Linked DNA regions of Danio rerio. The protein of the gene in region 1 purifies or fractionates together with the protein of each later gene. This does not show direct contact. Links are inferred from orthologs where the notes say so. Each region holds a gene or a part of one and is shown on either strand. Other genes may lie near its edges.

What was found. Proteins that work in one complex are often made in the same cells at the same time.
Region 2: the proteins of slmapa (region 1) and strn3 purify together in Homo sapiens (affinity purification with mass spectrometry; 5 studies listed by BioGRID and IntAct, with this or other methods). This does not show direct contact. The link is inferred for Danio rerio from reciprocal best matches to the Homo sapiens genes SLMAP and STRN3.

What each region holds. Positions count from the first base shown.
Region 1 is NC_133186.1:44,730,702-44,741,982, reverse strand, and holds the start of slmapa (sarcolemma associated protein a), read left to right. Parts: upstream 1-3,915; 5' UTR 3,916-5,106; coding exon 5,107-5,304; intron 5,305-11,281. UniProt on the Homo sapiens protein: Associates with the striatin-interacting phosphatase and kinase (STRIPAK) core complex, forming the extended (SIKE1:SLMAP)STRIPAK complex.
Region 2 is NC_133192.1:30,197,880-30,208,549, forward strand, and holds part of strn3 (striatin-3), read left to right. Parts: intron 1-2,742; coding exon 2,743-2,846; intron 2,847-3,007; coding exon 3,008-3,081; intron 3,082-5,064; coding exon 5,065-5,146; intron 5,147-5,314; coding exon 5,315-5,491; intron 5,492-5,585; coding exon 5,586-5,724; intron 5,725-5,819; coding exon 5,820-5,961; intron 5,962-10,670. UniProt on the Homo sapiens protein: Calmodulin-binding scaffolding protein which is the center of the striatin-interacting phosphatase and kinase (STRIPAK) complexes.

The DNA.
Region 1 (11,281 bases):
AAATTTTTTAAGCAATGCTTTTTTAAGTTACTTTATGTGTAAATACACCTTTTTTCATTTACAATAAAGAATAAAAAATACTTAAACATCATTCAAAAGATCTATTTTTTGCTAAATATTTCACAGCACTTTTCACAAAAATGTTACAGAAACTCATTCTCCCATGTACAATGTAAAACTTTTTTCTCCAATTTTCACTCAACACCTTTGTAAACACTTAAAAGTTCATTTAATTTACTTAATTTCAAAATAGAAATAGAGTATTGTAATGAGATATGCACAATGTTTGATTAGTTTACTAAAATGTCAGCATGAACACTTCACATTTGCAGGACTTTTGCCAGCTCAGGTGTGTAGTGAAAAGCAAACGCCACAAGGTGCAGATATCAATAATGAAACTGTGTTTATCAGAAAATGCTCTCCAAATGTTTATTAAAAATGCCTTAAATGTTTAGTTTACAATACCTATAGTTTTGTTTTACCAGTTGTTTTGTATTATAGAACTTAATAATTAATGTTTATGAGTTTTTTAAACATTTGCTTTTAAATGATGATTCATGTTTTAATATAAAAAATTATTCATTAAATCACTTTGCCTTTCCAGCCATACTTATTTTCATAGATATTGTAATAAAGAAGGAGCTGTTTAACTCTTATGTACCTTTTTGTATGAGAACAAGTGTGTATATTCATTTCAAATGTACCATAAAAGGTACAGAACAGTATCATAAAGAGCTCTTTACCACCATGTACCTTTTTTCTGAGAGTGTATAATAAAACATACGATTACTCTGCTTCTCAGAATTTATTTATACAGAACTGTTGAAATTATGTACAGTATTTAAGGCAAGTGTATTATTCATTCATTTTCTTGTCGGCTTAGTCCCTTTATTAATCCGGGGTCGCCACAGTGGAATGAACCGCCAACTTATCCAGCAAGTTTTTACGCAGCGCATGCCCTTCCAGCGGCAACCCATCTCTGGGAAACATTCACAAACACATTCACACACACACACTCATACACTACGGACAATTTAGCCTACCCAATTCACCTGTACCGCATGTGTTTTGACTGTGGGGGCAACCGGAGCACCCAGAGGAAACCCACGCGAAGGCAGGGAGAACATGCAAACTCCACACAGAAACGCCAAGCCGAGGTTCGAACCAGCGACCTTCTAGCTGTGAGGCAACAGCACTACCTACTGCGCCACTAAAAGATAATATATCTACTAAAAGACAAGATTACTTTACAAACTGTATTGTTAATAAATCAAATTAACACCTTCATATTAGTCAATACCATTACTAAAAGTAAATTAAAAACTGAATAAATATAAATGTACAAACATTTACACAAGTAAATAAATAAACTCTATGATGGGCTAAAAATCTGCGGAAGTCGGCAGATTTCTGTGTGCGCAGATTCCAAGTGGGCCTAATAAAAAAATGCACCACCAAGCTGAATACCTTCAATTTGTGTAATTGAGGAATTCATGTTACAGTGAAGTTGCATAATTATGTCTAATTTAATTTACTTAATCCAATACAATATATATTTTAGGTCAAATACAGTTTGATTAAGGCCTGTTTAGTATTGGTTGTTTATTTCTGTGGCACGCTTGCATGGTGACTCCCTGTTGTCTCCAATCAAATTAACATAGCAGGGACTAGTTAATATTGCGGTCTAATATATGGACATTTAACATATAATGTCCCAGGTGCATCATTGAGCCACATTATTGTTTTCATAGGTTTTCCAACAGTGATCACTTAATTACTTCATATGGGTCACATAAGAGACAAAACAATTGGATTAGTCTGAGCAAGACATTAGAGTCAAATCAGCATGCTCCATTTGGTATGACAGATGTTCAGTGCAATTTAGTCCACAGATTCCAAGTCCAAACAGAGGGACTTGGGGCGGGGTGTGCTTTGAAAGCCTCTCCTTCTTCCTGAAACTAAAATACTTTCCAAAGATGATTTATAAATACATTTATGTGAATTTTACTCAAAGTCTAGCGGAAGATGTACCTTGAAAATGCTTTGATTCTGGTGATTTGGATCCATTTTGCTCTGTCTATGTTCACCAAGTGGTCTGTTTTTTCAATAATTGCCATCTTGAGATAAAGGAAAAGTGGCTTGGAAACTCTTTCAATGTTCTTTTAAAATGCAACTTTATGTAAATCATCTAGAATTTACATTATATGCAACAATAACATTTATTATAGACAATTTGATGCAAGAATATTCTGTTAAAATAAACATATATAGGTAAAATATAGATATAATATAGGTACATGTATAGGTAAATATGGGTATAGATGTGGAAATAAACAATTATAAAAATAAAGACAGAAAAAATGCATTTAAAAATATACAGAAGTATGAACTAAAAAGTATATGGGAAATCTTAATTAAAAAAGTATGGTATTTGTTTATCAGGCCATATGTTTGTTTACTAGTTTATAATTTTTATTTGTTTATGTGAATCTCTTATTTGTATGATGACTTTTTTGTTGTTCTTTGTTGTGTTTATTTGTTAGAGCCCTTTTTATAGAGCCAGATTGGTCTCAAAAATATTACATTTAAATAATATAATTCATATATTCACAACTCAAGTTACAGTTACAAAATCCAATTCATAAATTCTAAACGAGATTCATTAATAAACAAATCCAACTTGTAAATTGAAAACATGATTCATAAATACACAAATCCAATCCATAAATTAAAATCGCGATTTATAAATACACAAATCCAATTCGTCAATTCAAAACGCGACTCATAAATACACAAATCTAACTTGTCAATTCAAAACACGATTTATAAATACACAAATTCAATTCGTAAATTCTAAACGTAATTCATAAATACACAAATACATTCCGTCAACTCAAAATGCGATTCATAAATACACAAATACAATTCGTAAATTTAAAACGTGATTCATAAATACAAAAATCCAATTGGTAAATTTAAAATGTGATTCATAAATACACAAATTTAATTCGTAAGTTCAAAACGCGATTCATAAATACACAAATTTAATTTGTGAGTTCAAAACGCGATTCATAAATACACAAATCCAATTCGTCAATTCAAAACGCGATTCATACATACACAAATTCAATTCGTAAATTCAAAACGTGATTCATAAATACATAAATCCAATTCGTCAACTCAAAACGTGATTCATAAATACACAAATACAATTGGTAAATTCAAAACGTGGTTCATAAATACACAAATCTAATTAGTCAATTTAAAATATGATTCATAAATACACAAATCCAATTCGTAAATTCAAAACACGATTCATAAATACACAAATCCAATTCATAAACTGAAAATGCGATTCATTTACACAAATCAGATTCGTAAATACAAATCGCGATTCAAAAATACTCAATCCAATTCATAAGTTTACATGCAATTTATAATTACTCAAATTCAATTTGTAAATTTAAAATGTGATTCATAAATACACAAATCCAATTCGTAAATTGAAAACACTATACAAAAATACACAAATCTAATTAATTTGGTGAAAGTATTTATGATTTTTGCTTGTGAATTTACAAATTGTTGGTTGTATTTACAAGTTGTGTTTTGAATTTACAAACTGGATGTTGTAAATGTGAATTGTGCTGTGCATGGAGGAGTTTTATTATGTACATGTATTATTTTTGAGACTGATCTGACTGGCTCCATACTTTTTTTGTCTGTTCAACAAATTGTTTTACCTGTTGTTGTCTTGCTTGTTGATTGTAAATGAAATGCTATTACAAAAGAAAAAAATAGCATCCGAAAAATGAACAAACAAACATTATTTTCAATCCGCATGAAAAACGTCATCCTTTTTCTCTGGAAACGCGGATCCGCCTACATTTTCGCGTCACCGCAAAGCCCCGCCCCATATCTCGGTGGTGCGCGAGCCCCGCGGCGGTTTGTGGCCGGTGTGTATGTGTGTGTATATCTCTTCAAGAGGACGACTTACTTCCAATTATCCCGTCGCACACAACGATTTCCCTCCCGATTTCAGCGTTCCGAAAAGCGGAGACCTCCATGGCTTAACACGGGACCGTGTCATGGACTTTATTCGTGTATGACTTTCTTTTCTGGGGAAATTTTTGTGTCTCTCAGCAGGCTAAGCTAGTTACCGAGCTCGCGAGCTAATACTGGATTTACGCAAATTCTCCGCGCATGAAAGTTCCACAGACCGAACAAATAGCTGGTTTTCGGGGATAAATCAGCTCGGGGTTATTTATAAAGTCTCTTCCAGCTTGGACGGCTCGATAAGGTGAAAGTAGAAGGCCAGTGTTACCTCAGCGAAGCTAACAAGCTAATATGAAGTTAGCCAGCTAACGCTCTCGTGCGCAAGAAAACACCCTCCGCGCGAGCTGTGCTCTTGTATACAATCCTGACAGCTAAATACTTGCATTTGAAGTCTGTTTAAGTAGGCATTTGAGGTATTTTTCAATATTAATTACTCTGTCTTGGGGAGTGGTGGCTTGATGGTCTGCTCTGCATACTTCAGCCAAACCCACTCACATTATTATTAATCTTCATTACGGTTTAACATTTTCACAAGTGCATTTCGTGCCTAGCAGTCATTCCCTCTAAATATAGACACGCATGTCAACTTGACAGTAATACTTCTTTTTTTTTTTTAGGAGTAAAGGTTGACCAATTCAACAGGTTATTGGTGTACTAGTTGCTGGGTTGTTTACTGGCCAGGCCTATGCTTGTAAAGGGGGACGAGGATGAATTGTGTTGGGAACGAAGTATAACAGCTCGAATTGTGGACTGTCATCTGGACACCCAGATTTGTATGGAATTGGGCAGCTGTATTGGGTTTGGTTCGGCAACATGGGGGTCTCGCAAGGGGGCAAGAAGTCATCTACATAGTGTATAAATATACAGTCTTGTTGACGTTATGTAGTCGGTTTAGCAGGGGTCTTTTTGTAGAGTTGGAATTTTTTTCGTATTACTATGTGCGTTGGTCTGCTGGTCATTCATTAGGAAGAATTGGAGCAACAGGTCAGTCTGGATCAAGAAACCCTGTCTTTCGTCTCTGGTTGGAGTAACACTCCCAAGCCATCCTCAATGCCTTCAGCGCTGGCCGTGTTCTCCTGCCGCCCGAATTCACACCCGTTTCAGGAACGCCATGTTTACCTGGATGAGCCGGTCAAGATCGGGCGCTCCGTGGCCCGGTGTCGCCCTGCCCAAAACAACGCCACCTTCGACTGCAAAGTGTTGTCGAGGAATCACGCTCTGGTATGGTTCGACCACAAGACAGGCAAGGTAAGTCTGATGTTTCACCAATAGATTGGATGTTAACTATAAACATTATTCATTAGATGTACTTATTTTTTTTAAGGTAAGTGGTTGCAAAAATTAGCATGAGCTGAATTTAAACAAATAAACGTTACTACATTTAGTTTGTTTAAATTCAGTCTATATAAATTGTTTGCAACCACTTGCCTCAAAAAAGTTAGTAAGTCCAATGAATATTTTTTTCAGTGTTTGACATATCCACCTCCATCTTTCTTGAATTATTAAGATTTTCTTTGTATCTATCTGTCAATGTTGTCACAATTGTCTGTACTAGGATTATATAGATAATATCCCCACCCAAAAGTAGATTAAGATGGAATTTATGGCTAAATATACCACTGCATTAGATCAGTGTTTCTCAACCACGTTCCTGTAGGACCACCAACACTGCATATTTTGGATGTCTCCTTTATCTGTTACATTCATTACAGGTCTTTCAGTCTCTGCTGATGATCTAAATCAGGTGTGTTTGGTTAAGGAAACATGGGGTGTTTCTCAATAGGCGTTTTTCAGCGATCCTGCGTCCTCGTGTTCTTCTGTAATGTCGTCATTAACTGCCTATGTTCAGTTCCAAAACTCAAGACGGCAAGAACGGAGGACGCGTGAAAGTTGCCAGATGTGTTCTTGATATCGTAGAGTCATCGATGCAGACTTGAGCACAAAACTTGCTTGAGAAGTCCTAGAAGTCGTTGTGGCTGTATGAAGGAGGTGGGAAGCGCAGCATTTTATTTAGATTTATTATTAAAGTTTAGAGATGTAACTTATTTACTTCAGGAGTTTCCCTAAATGAGACGGTGAATTTAAACATTACCATGTAAATCATAATAATGGCATAAGCACATAAAGGGTGTTTACTTGTTGAAATTCGTGTTAAAATTAGTTTTATTTGTATTGTGAAGCATATATTTGTACGTTTTTTTTATGCATGGTATATATTATGTATGGGGGAAAACAATAAATCGTTGTTGTAGGAATGCTGTAATGTTTAAACCATATTCCATTAAAAACATGTGAAGGTCACGTCACCATCAGGAAGACCCAGGGAAGAACACAGCATCTCATTTCTCACAGGATGCGTTCTCTGTTCTCAGCGTTCTAGGAATTAAGAGACAGTCTAGGAACATGTGCAGAGCTGGTGGTCCTCCAGTAATGTGGTTGAGAAACACTGCATTAGATCACAGGTGTCAAACTCAGTTCCTTGAGGGCCGCAGCTCTGCACAGTTTAGTGCAACCCTAATTAAACACACCTGATGAAACTAATTGAATTCTTTAGGCTTGTTTGAAACACACAGGTAAGAGTGTTGAAGCAGGTTTGGAACTAGACTGCAGGTCAACGTCCCTCCAGGAACTGAAATTGACACCCCTGTGTTATATAGTAAATATATTAGCTTTTTCTTAAAACTAATCCAAAGATTCAATGAGCAAAAAAAAACACTATTTCAATGAGCTTTTAAAGGGATAGTTCACATAAAAAATGTAAATTCTGCCATGAAAGTCCACTTGCTCTAAAACTGAGTTTGTTTCTTCTTTTGAACAGAAAGAAAGGTTTATTGAAGAATGTCAGAGAAAGCAACTGACTTTAGTATTTTTACATTTATACTATGGATGTCAATAGCTGTTTTTTATGTCAATGGCTGAATATTCTTTAGAAAATCTTGTTTTATGTTTAAGAGAAGAAATTTATAAAGTAAATGGTGAACTGTCCCTTTAATGCATTGTGTCAAACTCCTGGAGGGCCACAGCTCTGCACAATTTAGTTCCAACCCTAATTAAACACACCTAATCCAACTAATTTTTTAGTTAAGTCCTTCAGGCTTGTTTGAAACCTAAAGGTAATACTGCGGTCACGCTAGAGTTTGTGCGTGCGTAATTCTGTTGTACGGCGCTGCGAATAGGATTAAAAAAGATGGTTAGACATTTAAAAAAAAGGGAGCGATAGGTCCATATATTAATTTTCTGTCCAGAGAGGTCATGTTTTCAACTTCAATTGGTCTCACGCCATCATGTGATGTGATTTCGCAGGTCAGAGCTCACCAAGCTTGAACTTTCCAATGTAGCGAACTGCTAAACTTTTCACATAAGCTTGCGTTTCCAGTCTGACGCATTCGTGTGTGTATAAATTGAAGTCTATGGGGAGAAAAGTGCAGTGAGGCCGAAACTAAACTGTGCCGGACTGGGGCCCTCCCGGAAATGAATTTGACACCCCGGCTTTAATGTGTGTAAATACCAAGAACATAAAGTAATTCATTTTATGAAATTAATATTTAGTAACAAATATATTTAATAACAACTTTATTTTGTAATTTGGTAAAAAAAAAAATAGTAACAAAAGTATGTATAATATTGACAATAATTATATGAATATGCCATAGGTCTCAAACTCGATTCCTGGAGGGCCACAGATCTGCACAGTTTTGATCCAACCCCAATCAAACACAGCCGATTCAAATAATCAAGGTGTTCAAGATTACTAGAGACTATTAAGCAGATGTGAGTTGGAGGTGGTTGGAGCTAAACTATGCAGAGCTGCGGCCCTCCAGGAATTGAGTTTGAGACCATTGGAATTTGCAGTTTGCCGAAGCCCCAAGCGTACTTAGGCTCGATGGGCTTTTAAAACCTCTATGACCTTCCAGTGGTCATTGGCAGTGACGTACCATGTAGTGTGCTTGACACCAGTTTTATTGAGGTGTAAATCTTCTTTAGTTAACTTCTGCTGTTTAGTAAATTCTACAACATCGGAGTGCTTATGCAAAAACTTCCATGTTGCTTTGATCAGATGTTTTTTCACCTTTATTAATTTTGTTCTGTAGAAATGGCCAATTTCTAGCTTTGAAGATTCCAAAATGTAAGGGTTCAGGTCAGGTGCGCACACAAAGTATGTTGCATTATATCCAACTCTAACATATTAAAGTGAGTTTTAAAACAATTCACTTTAAAACGGGTGTTCATGACTTTGTTTGTATACCAGTATCTTTCAGACACACTTTTGGACATTTATGGTAGAATTGAATTTTCACAATTGATCAGATTTGACCTGATAATCTTAATTCAGGCATCTGTTATCTATATTGTGATGATTTTGAGACATGGCGGCTATGACCTGAATGTTTGCCATTACATGCTGTCTGTCACAGTCGTGTTGTCTCATAATATCTGTCAGGAAGGTACAAGCCTTTTTACAGCATCAAATAAACTCTGCGGCTAACATGCGTGACGTTGCTGGATTGTGTTTAGTAAACTGTAGTGAAATATTGTTGTGGCATCTATATGCTGCATGTGTTTATGTAAAAATTTATGGCTGTTAATTCTGACTCTCTAGTCTGGCTTGTGTAATTGGATGTCCAGGTTTTTTTTTTTTTTTTTAGCTTCCTGGTACTCGCATTATTATTGCGTCTCCCACAGCATCATGTGTGAATGAAAGTGTAAAATAATCCTGTTGAAAGGAGCAGAACATGTTTCACTATGCAGTATCCATGGACATACCCAGTAGGGCTGTGCAATGTTGAAAAATGAGATATGCGATAGCATGCTAAATAATGCAGTGTGTAATATCAGATACATTATTGTAAAAATGTTATAACCAAAAGGTTTTATGTAATTTCAGAAAAAGGAAAGCATTAGGATAACAAAGTCAGGCTGCATGATTCTGGCTAAAATGAGAGTCATGATTTGTTTTTGCTTTAAATAAAGATCATGATTTTCTCGCGATTCTGTAGATAAAATAATTGTTGATATAAGTAGGCTAATGTCATTGTTATTTCCCAGAAATATTATAAAACAACAATAATAATATTAGGCCTGTGTGTGGGTCTACTGTTGATTAAAAGGCTAAATTTGATATAGACTTAGAGAGATATCCTGTTTGTTAATTCACAGTAAAGTGATGACATAAGAATACAACTATTCATAATTCTGATGTTAAATTATTGAGACATATGCTTGTCATTGACAACATTATTAGACCATTTTATTTTACTGTTATAATGAAACATTTGTCATTATCCGACACAATCTCATGGCAATTCGTAACTTTTTGATTTAGTGGCTAATTCGTATGAGTTTGTATGATCTAATTCCTATGATTTGCTTATCCCATACTGATGGTTGGGTTTAAGGGTGGGGTTGGGTGCCACGCCTCCTTTTTAAAATCGTACAATTTTGTACGACTGAACTCTTACGAATTCATACAAATTAGCCACTAAATTGACAACGTAAAATACTTATGTTTTTTCCCGTATGATCAGGCAGCATTATCAGATTTTCTTCATGCATAATGCTCAACATTATATAGGCTAGAGTAGTTATACCGACCCTGTTAAAATGTATTTGTATGCAGCCATGCACAACACTTCGCTATGAAAGAAAAAACATATCCAGTGCTTGTTGTAATCATAACTGTGAAATGCGATATGATCGTTTAAATGATGTGAATACTTTCAGTTTCACTTTCACTGCCGAGTGCACTCATGTCATGGCTGTCGTCACTTTGAGAAAAAAAAAACATACATGCAAACCATACAAACCGAAAGTTATTTTTCAGCTTTATTAGCTGTTATTTACAGCCTATGCAGGTTTTGTTCACTAAAGTAGATGTCATTGATGGGCACGCTCGCATCCTCTTGGTAGTAAACAAACTGCGTCAGCTTGTGATTTCGCCGCCGTGATTAGCTTCCATCATTACATTAAGACAGAAATGACTTTTTGTGTGAATTATACCTTATGAATACAGTATGTGACACTTTTAATGCAATTTGGAGGTGTCCATGTTGCTGCGTAACGTATATAAAACAATTTAAAGACTCTTTACACTTCTCTCCTGACCTTGAAAATATAAATGTCTAAATTGAAGAAAAGCTGAATTAAGTGAATCGAGTTTGCAATCTTTTTTTGATTAATCATGCAGCCCTACAACAAAGTTAAAAGCCATGTTTTACTGTTGCATAAAACCAGTTAGACATTATAACAATGTGTACAAACAAAAATAATTTATATAATTAAGCCACGGCTACATTACAGCTTCTCATTCAAAACATCCAGTCGTGTTTTTTTTAATAGCGGATAATAATCGCACCAAAACATATTAAAAGGTAAGTGAATTATAACAGCGCAAACTTTTCTGTAACCGTAGTAATGATGTGCGTCATTTGTTTAACCCTTTAAGGTGACGTGCTGACTGACTGACAGGTGCTTGCTGTGTGAGGCCAGCAAACACGACGTATAGATGTTTCACTTTACTTCAGGACACAATAATATCGCTCTGTAGGTCTATTGGAGACATTCATAAATATTCCTAGCATATCTAATAAATGTTGGAGACATAGTCGTTACATAAACAAACTAAATTGCACTTCAGCAGCGTTTATTTGAGAGCGCACAAGAAGATCTGCGCTTGAGCAGCTTATATTTGAGGCCGTGCAAGAAGTTTTGTGCACGAGCCGAGGAAATCGCCGCGTAAGCAAAGAGATTTGCATTCTTGTAGACTATTACATAAATGTGATCTCGACTTGTGATACTGCGCTCACAACCTTTGTCATTGACAAATTATGCTATAGGTAGTTGGTTGATCTGTGTAAAAAAAAAAGATCTGCCTCCACAGCTGGAAAAAAATCCTAGAGGAAACTGGAGTTCCTACTTTAATGCCTTATTGCTTTCCTCACATGGCTTGATTAATTGGTCATATGTATTTCGTAATCCATGCTAATATTATATTTTGGGACCAAAACAAAAACAGCATGTCCATTTTGCTTGGTTTCATGTGTGTTGGCATGTAACTTCATTGCTTGATATGCTGAGAAATCCTTCAGAGCAGTGTTTCTCAACCATGTTTCTGGAGGACCACAAGCTCTGCACATTTTCCATGTCTCCTTATCCAAACACACCTGATTCAGATCATCAGCTCATTAGCAGAGACTCAAAGACCTGTAATGGGTGTGACAGACAAAGG
Region 2 (10,670 bases), on another chromosome or scaffold:
ATGTCATTAGAGAAAATTGTTATGTTATTACTGAAATGTACTGTTGTGTAAATTAAGAATAACACTGTAAACTACAAATAAATGTCAATATTTTTACAATTAGGCTGCTTTCACACCTGTAGATAAATAATTTTGTTCCGAAACAGGGAGTAAAATTGTTACAATGTTGCACTTTGTTCTTAGTGCGGCAAGAGTTTCTAAATGGACCAAAATAATTAAAACAACTCAGGTGCATGTAAACTCTCCTCACTTTGTTTAGAGTTCAACTTCCACAGTTTATTTTTTTTTTAGAGTCGGCTGTCATGCGTCCTTATTTCAATTTATGAGGATGAGTAAAGCCAAGGAAATTAGTCAGCAATAGGCCACTGTCTGAGCTAGTGTATTTGCATACAGCAATCTAATTGGCTGACACTTTCATCGGCGCTTGAAACTGCAATAACTTCTGTCGTCTGAAACTGCAATATTTACACATACATTTTTTTTAATCTTCTGTAACGGTATTTAACTCGTAAATTTGTTTTACATTTATTTACACCTTGTTGACCAATTTATGTAAGCAAATACAATATATACAAAGAAAATACAATGTTCCTTGACCAGATGGTTTTTCAAGTTACTTATAAAGAGTGTTACTTCAGTCATTTTAATGTAATGTTTTAAGTTGACTTGTTACACAATTAAAAAAATCGAAATCGTAAATCAGTCAAACCTTATAAAAAACCTAGATTTTTTTTTTTGCCATATCGCCCAGCCCTAACATATACTACCATGTATTCTCGTAACGGAGGATAGAAAACACACCAATGATCCAACTCTATAAATGCTACAAATAAAAGAAATGCATCTTATAAGTTTTTGATGCATTTTCCCCTTCACTTACAGATTTCGCGATATATTGTAAATGGTTTTCTTGTGGTATATTGCAGGTATCTTGATTTATCATTACCGAGGGCAAAATACCATGATAATATTGTATCGTGTCATATTACTGTACCTGAATATCTGAATACTTATTTCACTTTTATTTTTGCTCCATCTCTTTATGCTTGAAGTTTTTATTTTTATTCAAGATTATTCCAGTTAATCTAAACGAATGATTTTATTTCAAATAGAGCTTTTCAAATCATCTGCTGATATTGTATTCATATCGCAATATATATATAATGTAGAAAAAGAAAACATTGCAATGTCAGATTTTTCCAATATCGTGCAGACCTAGTGTTTACCTTTGTTTTGCCTCACAGTCTCTGAATCTTTTGGCAATTCTTTGAATTTTCACTTGCATTTCTGTTTGTAAATTGAGTTTCTTTTGTCTACTACAGTAGCCACGCCTCAAATACTTGCTATTGGTTTAGCTGGAAAGTGACTGACGGATTTGAGCAAACTATACTCAAATTTTTGATAATTCCCTGTTTGCTCAGTGTTTACACATGGATGAGACAAATCCAAGAATAACATAATTAAAGTAGTCAATGAACAATAAAGTGGTTTAAAAAGAATTTTGGCACCGAGATTCACATTTAATGATACAGTAGTGATGATGGCACAAGTGTATAAGTATTTAAGTCATGGTAAAAACATTATTATTTAAGTGTTTTGCACAAATATAGCAGTTTCAGTTAGACATTTCTCACAGTTAAGAAGTCCATTGCCAGTTCTGTCCATCGCTACATGATTTAAATATTTAATATCAACCACTTGCACTAAATTGAAAAATCGAAAGTAGCCAATATATTGCATGTTTATCTTTTCCCCCAAATCAGTGCTCTGCACAATTGCTCTTTCCCCAAATGTTTGCATTATGCAACTATTGTTAATGATGTATCAATCAAGTGACGTTACATGTTTTATTGGTCAACAGCCCATGTTATTCTGCCAGTTCCTATATTGATCATCTGAGGGGATGTGTTTTTATGTTTGAACAGTATTACACAATGCTCATTGGGCTTTTGCTGATCAGATATTTGAGCTTGACCATTAAATACTTTAGAACATAAGGTGAAGGTAGTGTTGACTCGATCAATGGACTGGCGTCTCGCTGTCCTGCTTGCTATGCTGTTTTTTTTATGGGAATTAAAACTTGGGTTCTAATTAGTACATTTTAGGAGGTCTATGTACTATGTACTGTATATTTTCATTTAACAATAATATTACACCATTGAATTGTTGTGGACAACTCACTTTACCTTCACGGTTTTTACCAAAAGCACACAGGATTTCCTCTGCTAGATTACCTGCCAAACAAGTAAGGTTGTCATGAGAGTCTGCAGGAGCTCTTGTTCCTCCAGGAAGGCTGAGGGTTTGGTTGTCTATAAATACCCCTCCCCTTGCCTCCTCTCATTCACTTCCTGGCCTTTAAGAGGGGTCAAGTTGCACAGCTGCTCTCATTTGCTAATGTTAACCTGCTCTTTAGAGCTCAGTTCCTCTGGGCCACTGCCTTCCAGTGGCTTGTGTTGGTTCCTCTTAAGAAAATGAGATGAAATGATTTCAATCCAGTCAAATCATGGTTATTGATTTAAATCAAATTGATTCGCCAAGTTCACCAAGCAAATGATTCGTTCACAAACGCGTGATTTTGTGTGTGTGTGTGTGTATGTGTGATGTCAGCAAGAGCATGTCTGTTCCAAATTTGTTCTCTCATTTCGAACATTTCACAAGTTGACATCTCAGCTAAAATTTATATGCTCTGGTTTAACCTCTATTTCACGTGTTCTCATCATGACGTCTGTTTCTGTGTTGCAGGCCCGAATAGCATTCCTCCAAGGAGAAAGGAAGGGGCAGGAAAATTTAAAGAATGACCTTGTTAGAAGAATAAAAATGTTAGAATATGCATTAAAGCAAGAAAGGTTTGTGATTCTTTTTTGTAACATTAGTTATTGTAAAAGAAAATGTTGATCAAAGTAAAGCTATTTTCATATTTATATTAAAAAGCTTATGCATGTATGTGTGTGTGTGTTAGTTTATGTATGCCTGTATTTTTAACAAAGATTCTGTCTTTCATTTCTAGAGCAAAATACCATAAATTAAAATATGGGACAGAACTTAATCAAGGTGAAGTGAAAATGCCTAGCTTTGAATCAGGTAAGAGGACCCAACCTATTTTTAAAGTGTATAATATCAGGGTTCACACCCTTCTTGAAAGGACTTGAATTTCAGACATATAGTTTCAAGGTCTGTAAAGTACTTTAAAAAAATGAAGGTCCTTGAAAGTGTTTAAATTATATTTGAAATGACATTAGTTTATGGTTTTATTTTAACAATTGTACTCAATTGTCAAAAAAGAATGATAAAAACAGAAATTATTTTAAAAATGTACATTTATTCTTGTACAATAGCACTGACAAATAATGCACATTTTACCAACATTTCAGAAACCGCATTTGAATGTCACCAATATTGAATTCAACAAATTTTGTTAAAGTTCTTTAAACAGGATTTTTTAATCGGTCAAAAAATGGTTTTAATGTAAATATTAGGTGTAAATGAAATGTTAAGCACAGGAAGGCCTTTCATATGCTGGAGTGTGAATTACAAAGTGCTTGATTTAAAATTAATGGTGCTTTAAAAAGTCCTTAAGAGTCTTGAATTTGCTGTTCACGAAAGCATGGGAACCCTGTAATATACAATACAGTCTGATATCTATTATATATTTTTTTTTACAATGGACCTTTTCACAAGAGTGTTATGACGCTTTTAACAGTCATCATAATCTTAAATTCTTGAAAGTTTTTCAATATTTTTATTTTTTTTAAACGTATGTATATTTATGTTTTTACATCTTTATTATATCTTCTTTGCATGAAATTACAAAAAACGAAATGCTGATAGTGCAAGGTGTTTGTAATGCAGCATCTATGGACAGGACAGTAAATTTAATGTTGTTCTTTCTTCTGGCTGTTATTAGTATCACACTTTTTTTTTTCTTTTTCTGAAAGTCTTCATAACACCATTGTGGTGTTTTTCTTTTGAGATTTCAGCAAATAGGATTGTAAAAAAAGTTAAAATTGTTGTACTCTCCATTCACTGTGCACTAAGTTTACCTAACTATGATGACTTCTGCTACTTAGAAACCAAAAAATGTGAAATGGATCTATTTGAAATATTAAATGTATATATAATGTATTTCTGTTAAAGTTTAATTTTTCAGCATACATTCTTCAGTCATGTTATTATTATTATCATTATTATTATTAAAAATGTTACTATTACTAGTTTAACCAGATATAAAGTATGATACATTTGTAATCTATTTATGTTTGATAGCTAACAGCTTTTGAAAACTAACAGTACTTTTACTAACAGTAATATTAGTGATTAATATTAGGGATGCACTTGGTTGGAAACCTAAAGACGTTTTATGTTAATGTTTATCACTGTTTTACATTTTTATAAATTTTAAATTTTCTGATTAAAATCAACAAAATTTGAAGGTTGAGACTTTCTAGTTGTTTCATATAAAAGCAATAGACATTAGACCTACCCATAAAGTCCACACATTTAACTGTTGTAGTTTGACCTTGTTATGTCAAGCTGAGCAATCAAATTGACCCATCAGAGAATCTCCAAATAAATGTGACTTTGTTTTAATCAACCACTTCAGTCCTTCAAAACCATTTCATCCTCAATCTGAAAATAATTTTTTCTAACGGAATATCCAGAAACATTTTAATGGTTGTATGCATGTATTTTTTTGTTCTGGAATCTCAAATGTGTTTGTTATCACTTTATTTTGATGGTCCCTTTAATGCATTTTGTTGAATTTAAGTTGCATTGCATCTATATGCCAACTAATTCTCAATAGGTTATAAGTAGTGTTAGGTTGGGGTTAGGGTTACGGTTAGTGTAATTTGACATGTACTTGTAAAGTTTCAAATAGTCAGTTAAATGTGTTGATGGAGCAGAATCAGCAGATATTAAGCTGAAAGTCTACTAATACTCAAATGAGATGTAATTGACATGTAGTTGAAATGCAACTTTTAGTCAATAAAATGTGCAATAGGGACCATCAAAATAAAGTTTTGCCATGTGTTTTATTAAACTTTTGTATTTTTCTGTTTCATAAAGAAGATACCAAAGATACAGAGGTCTCAGCTATACCACAGAATAGCCAGTTAACGTGGAAACAGGGCAGGCAACTTCTCAGACAGTAAGTTAGCCTTGAGTCATTATACTTTTCCTAATGACGCTTGTGCATTCCGTGTGTGCGTGCATTTCAGTTCTGCTAAGAAAGTTCATAGGCATCTGTGTTGTCACGTTATCACTATTTATATCACCGGCTCTGTTCTGACCGACTTTACGCATCTGTCTTTTCAAGATATCTTCAGGAAGTAGGTTATACGGACACAATACTGGACGTCCGGACGCAGCGAGTGCGGTCATTACTAGGACTGTCCGGCTCAGAGCAGAATGGTTCCGTGGAAACCAAGAACCTAGAACAAATTCTAAATGGAGGCGAATCTCCAGCCAAAAGAAAGGGACAAGACATGAAAAGGTGTTGATTGATTTGATTTGATGCAACTGGTAAATTCATATAAACAATTAAATGAGATTTCTTAACGTTGTCTGTGATGCCTTTTGTTTAACAGGAATCCAGAAGTTCTGGAGACATTTAATTTTTTAGAAAACGCTGATGATAGTGATGAAGAAGATGATGATGAGGGTGATATAATGGAGGATGTGCCTGACAGGAGCGATAAACGCAGAATAAAAAAACATAAGATTAAGGTGTGTAACCAGGATATTTTACATGTCAATGATCTCAAAGTAGTCATTCTCAGGATATAGAAGTTCATGTGTTGTAGTCTTGACTACTTTTCCAGGTCGGAAATGAAGGATTGGCTTCAGACTTGCCGGATGACCCTGACACAGAGGACGCACTCAAAGAGTTTGACTTTTTGGTGAATGCGGAGGATGGAGAAGGTGCTGGGGAAGCTCGGAGTTCTGGAGACGGCACAGAGTGGGGTAAATAGTTTGCTTTTTACTTTAATGCTGCTTTACTATGGTACATCACACTTTTGGGAGATTTGCACTGTGCAGAGTACCTGGTATACCTCTGTTGAGTTTTGAAGTGAGCTGTGCAGAAACTAAAAGAGAGAATCGTCACTACCTGCGTCATTGTAACACGACACAACAAACCTGCAAGATGTAAATAAATAGTCAGCATCAGCCGCTGTGGGATTATTTTCAATGACTGACACGCATCTTCTAATGGCTGTATCATGGTCAGTAGAGAAGGTGCAGACGTTCCTCATGTTGATATTCAAGAAGCAGATCCAGTGTGATCTGGATGTGGCAACCAGGAATTAGGTTACATTTTAGTAGATGCGGTGCAAAAAAACGTATAATCTCATCCACTTTGCTTTTTTTTAACCACACAGTGAAAAAGTGACTTAAGGCTACATTTTCTTGTCAACAATGTAACCAAAAACTGAAAACTTTTTTTACTTGCATTAAAAAAAAGTTTCACATTTACATATCTTTTTCAAAATACATTTATGAAAATGTCCTAAAACACTGATTTATATTTGGCAGAGCAGTATTTGATGTTTTCACCTTGTTAGTAGGGCTGCATAATGTTAAAAAAACTGATATGGCAATATTTAGTTTTGCTGCGATATAATATTGCGTTATGAATATAATCACTAGATTCACTGAATAGCTCCAACCTATTTGGAAAGATGTCATTCTTTGAGATTGACTGAGGTGATCAAATCTATTTCTATGCAGTGTGTCTAAATATGACAGAGTAAAAATAAAAGTTTAATAAACAGTGCTTTTTTTGTGGAGTCTAACAGTATTCAAATACAAAACCATACAAAAATATTGTACAAATCATTGTTTAAACCTTGTATGCAATAATATAAAAATTATATTCAGCATTTTCTTTATATTTTGATATTTAATCAATTGAATACTGCGATGTGACTATTGTGGAAAAACACATTGCGAAATCAATGCGCAAGCGGTATATTGTTCAGCCCTACTTGTTAGAAAATAGTACCCCAAGGAAGGAATGATGTTCAGTTGGCGGCTCTGCGCTGATGTTTATGTAGAATTCAAAGTGTGTAAGATGCGTCTATGCTGTTGCTTGTAATGCAAAGTAAATCCACACCTTGCTCCTGAAGCATTAGCCAACAGTTGAGCATCAACAACACTAGCATGTACTGTGCCACTGTTGTGTGTTTATTTGGGCTTGCCTTTAATCTGCATCTCCCTAAATGTGCACACACATGACGTCATTGTGTAAGCCCCAAAAAAATAGTTATTGAAAAAAAGGCGACAATGTTCTTAATAACTTTAACTTTGAAATCCATTTTCATATTTATGCAGGTAATGTCACAGAAATGCTAAACGAACAAGCAAAATACTTCAAACGTTTTGAGATATTGGCTGAAATTGTTGTCGCATAAAGAGCCACTAAGTGTGACTGAGTATAATTTGTGTTATTGAGTGAAAAACACAGGTCACATTGGTGTGCAAGTCTATAATTCATTCCAAAGTAGTATGAAATTGGCTGCCAGTAGCCCTAAATAAACTGAAATGCCTACAGACATTATAAACGTATATTCTACTATGTCACTCTACAACAAATCTTTTTAATAGTGCTCAGTACAGAAAAGGAACAATAGGTATGAAAAAACTATCAAGAATAAAAAGCAGTTGTTATGTCAGTGGCTGAAAGCATAATTCAATATAAATGTCAAGTCTAAACTTGTTTATTCAAAGCAAAACTGAAATGATTAGCATTATTATATATATATATATATATATATATATATATATATATATATATATATATATATATATATATATATATATATATATATATATATATATAAAATATGTGCTATAATCTAAATAGTTGTGTGTCTCATTCATCACCAATCCACCAATGCATTTGTTTTGCTCACCTCATACTAATTCCATTAAGTCACTTTGGAGTTTAGGTTGCATCCTTTTTAAATGAAAAAATGTCTTATATTTTGAAATACATAATAATTGTCAAGTGATGAAACAGGGCACATCTCTTAATATTCTTACAGGATTTGAGTGTTTGATTATTAAGCAGGACATCCTTATTAGTGTGTAGTATTGAAATATGGACTGAAATTTAAAGGTTCATCCAAACAAGAACTATTTATTATCAACCCAGCCTAGTGTTGATCCAGCTCTGTTTTTTATATTAGATTTTAGAATGTTCATTTATTTGTGATTGGTCAAATCAAAAGTGGTTTATATTGAAGACTTCTAAACAGGACATCATAGCACCATAGTGATGCTATAATTGTTTTTTTTTTTTATGACAACAGATTTTCAGCAGCCATTACTTGTCACATGATCCTTTAGAAGTAAATAAAACATATTGATGTGTTAATAAAGAATATAATTTTTTTATTGCCCCAAATATGACATTGTTGATTTTGACTTTTTGTGGTCTTACAAAGCTTGGAACATACAGGTGATGATGATAGTCCATTAGTAAACATTAGCATTAATGTTTAGTGTATGGAAATGAGCTGTTTTGACATTATGCAAGTTTGCTAGTCTTTTAATTAAAGAAAAGAGACTGCATAAATGTGAAAACATAATGAACTATATGAATCTGTGTCTGTATGGGCATGTGTGTTCCTTGCATGTGATTGTGGCACACACCGGCCCTGCAGTAGAATCTTAACGAGGCCAGTTGCTGCATCAGCATTCCTGCCAGGAGATTCTCTTACTGCTCCGACCAGAGCCAGCTGGGTCAAACACATCAGCTCATTACATCCATCCCGCAGCCGTGCTTTTTCTTTTTGTATCTCTCACTCTTTTTATCTTACTCACTTCTCTTTGACCTATTTCTAAGCTAAGGATTATGTAAATCTTACTATAGAGTATGCATTTTTGATAAAGTAGCATAATTATGTGTGAAGTGTCACCCCTAAATTGGGATGTTTATTACATTTAAACATTTGATCAATACGTGGTGTATTCCTGAAACATAAACTCTGTTGATTAACCCAGACTTTTGTTTCTGAACGTTTCTTCATTCCAAAAGTTTGCAAGCAAAGTTACCTTTTCAAAGTGAGCATTTTAACTCCAGGTCCAGGTGTATCATAATTCTTTCTTTTAATTCGTCACACCCATTGCGGCTTCATTAATAAGACATGCATGCACCTAACACCTCTAAAGTAAATTAAGCCGGAAACATAAACCTCTCTAAAGCAGTTGTTCAGAAAGAATTTGTAAGGAATATTTGGCTACAGATTGTACAAGCAGGTTTGTACAAGCAAGATTGTCCTTCAGAAAAAAGGATGTTTTTTTTTTTTTTACAAACAGTGTCTGACATAAGGAAGTTAAATGAGTAAAAGGGAAAGAACGGTCAAACTAAAACAGATTTCCAGAAGAAATGTTATTTAAGTAGCATTTCAAACCACATATGAATGTTACTTGAATAGAGTTTGTAAATATGTTTTTTATTTTTATATTTACGTTCACAGTAAAAATAAGTGATTGTGGATAGCCGGGCAAGTTTTTATTGGTCAAAAATGATTAAGTAGTGTGGATACTAGCAGCTCATTTCCACTGATTGTTACGGTCCGGTATGGTATGATTCGGTATGATTCGGTATGCTTTTATGGCCATTTCCACTGTCAAAAAGTACCAACGAGCAAACCGTAGCGTACCACTTTTTAGGTACCCTTTTGGAAGGTTACCTATCACAACAAATGGGTTACAAAAGGTGGAGCAAGACGCACAGCTGAACGCTATTGGTTTACAGAGAAGCATCACTAGCTCATGTGCAAGCCAGGTGAATGAAAACAAAGGAAGCTTTTTTTTTTTTTTTTTAAACTGCCATGTTTACCTATTATCATTGCCTTCTCAACTATTAAGAACTCTAAATGATGGAATTACTTTCTAACAGAGGCTACATGTGCTAGTGAAGATTGAATATGCAGTTGAGAGGTCTGCACTGACTTTGGGCTATATTGTGTGTTGTTTTTGAACCCCAAATAAGGAAATGTATGCTGTGTGCCGTTATTTTTTAATGAGTAACATATCGGAGACTTGGTTTGTATGTTTTCATGCATGTTGCATTTATTTATTTTATATAATTGCAGATGTTACAGTAGGTTATTTCGCCTTATCATTGATCTGCCATCAATGTAACTGTAACAACTTGGTTTTAAAAAGAATTGTATTTGTGTAAATGACACTTTAGAATCCATTTTTGTGTTAGGCTCTGTTTTTTGTTGAGCTCATTACAATTGCATGCTCAAAGCTAGCTTTTTTTATTTTTTTTTTATTTTTTACTTTTAACCATTTCAAAAGTGGCAGAAAAATGGAAGCTTCAACTTTCTCTATTGTTATCCATTGTACCCTTGGCTTGCTTATTTTACACTGTTAGAGGATGGTAGATCATACTCCCAAAGATTATAAAAAGACCATAGATATATCCACCCATTACCTTCACCACAAAAAAATAGGGAAGTGGACAAAAGTGTTAGGTTAAAACACTGGGTAACAAGAAATGGATCTCATCTATCTCTAATCGACCCCTAATTGCCTCTTACCAGTGGCTTACAGATTTATTAAGCTGTTAACTGCTATAAAACATATTACTGTATTGCTTAAGCCCCGTTTTCCACTCCAAGGTGTGGCGCCTTGTTTACTGGGCCCTTCTCTTCTAT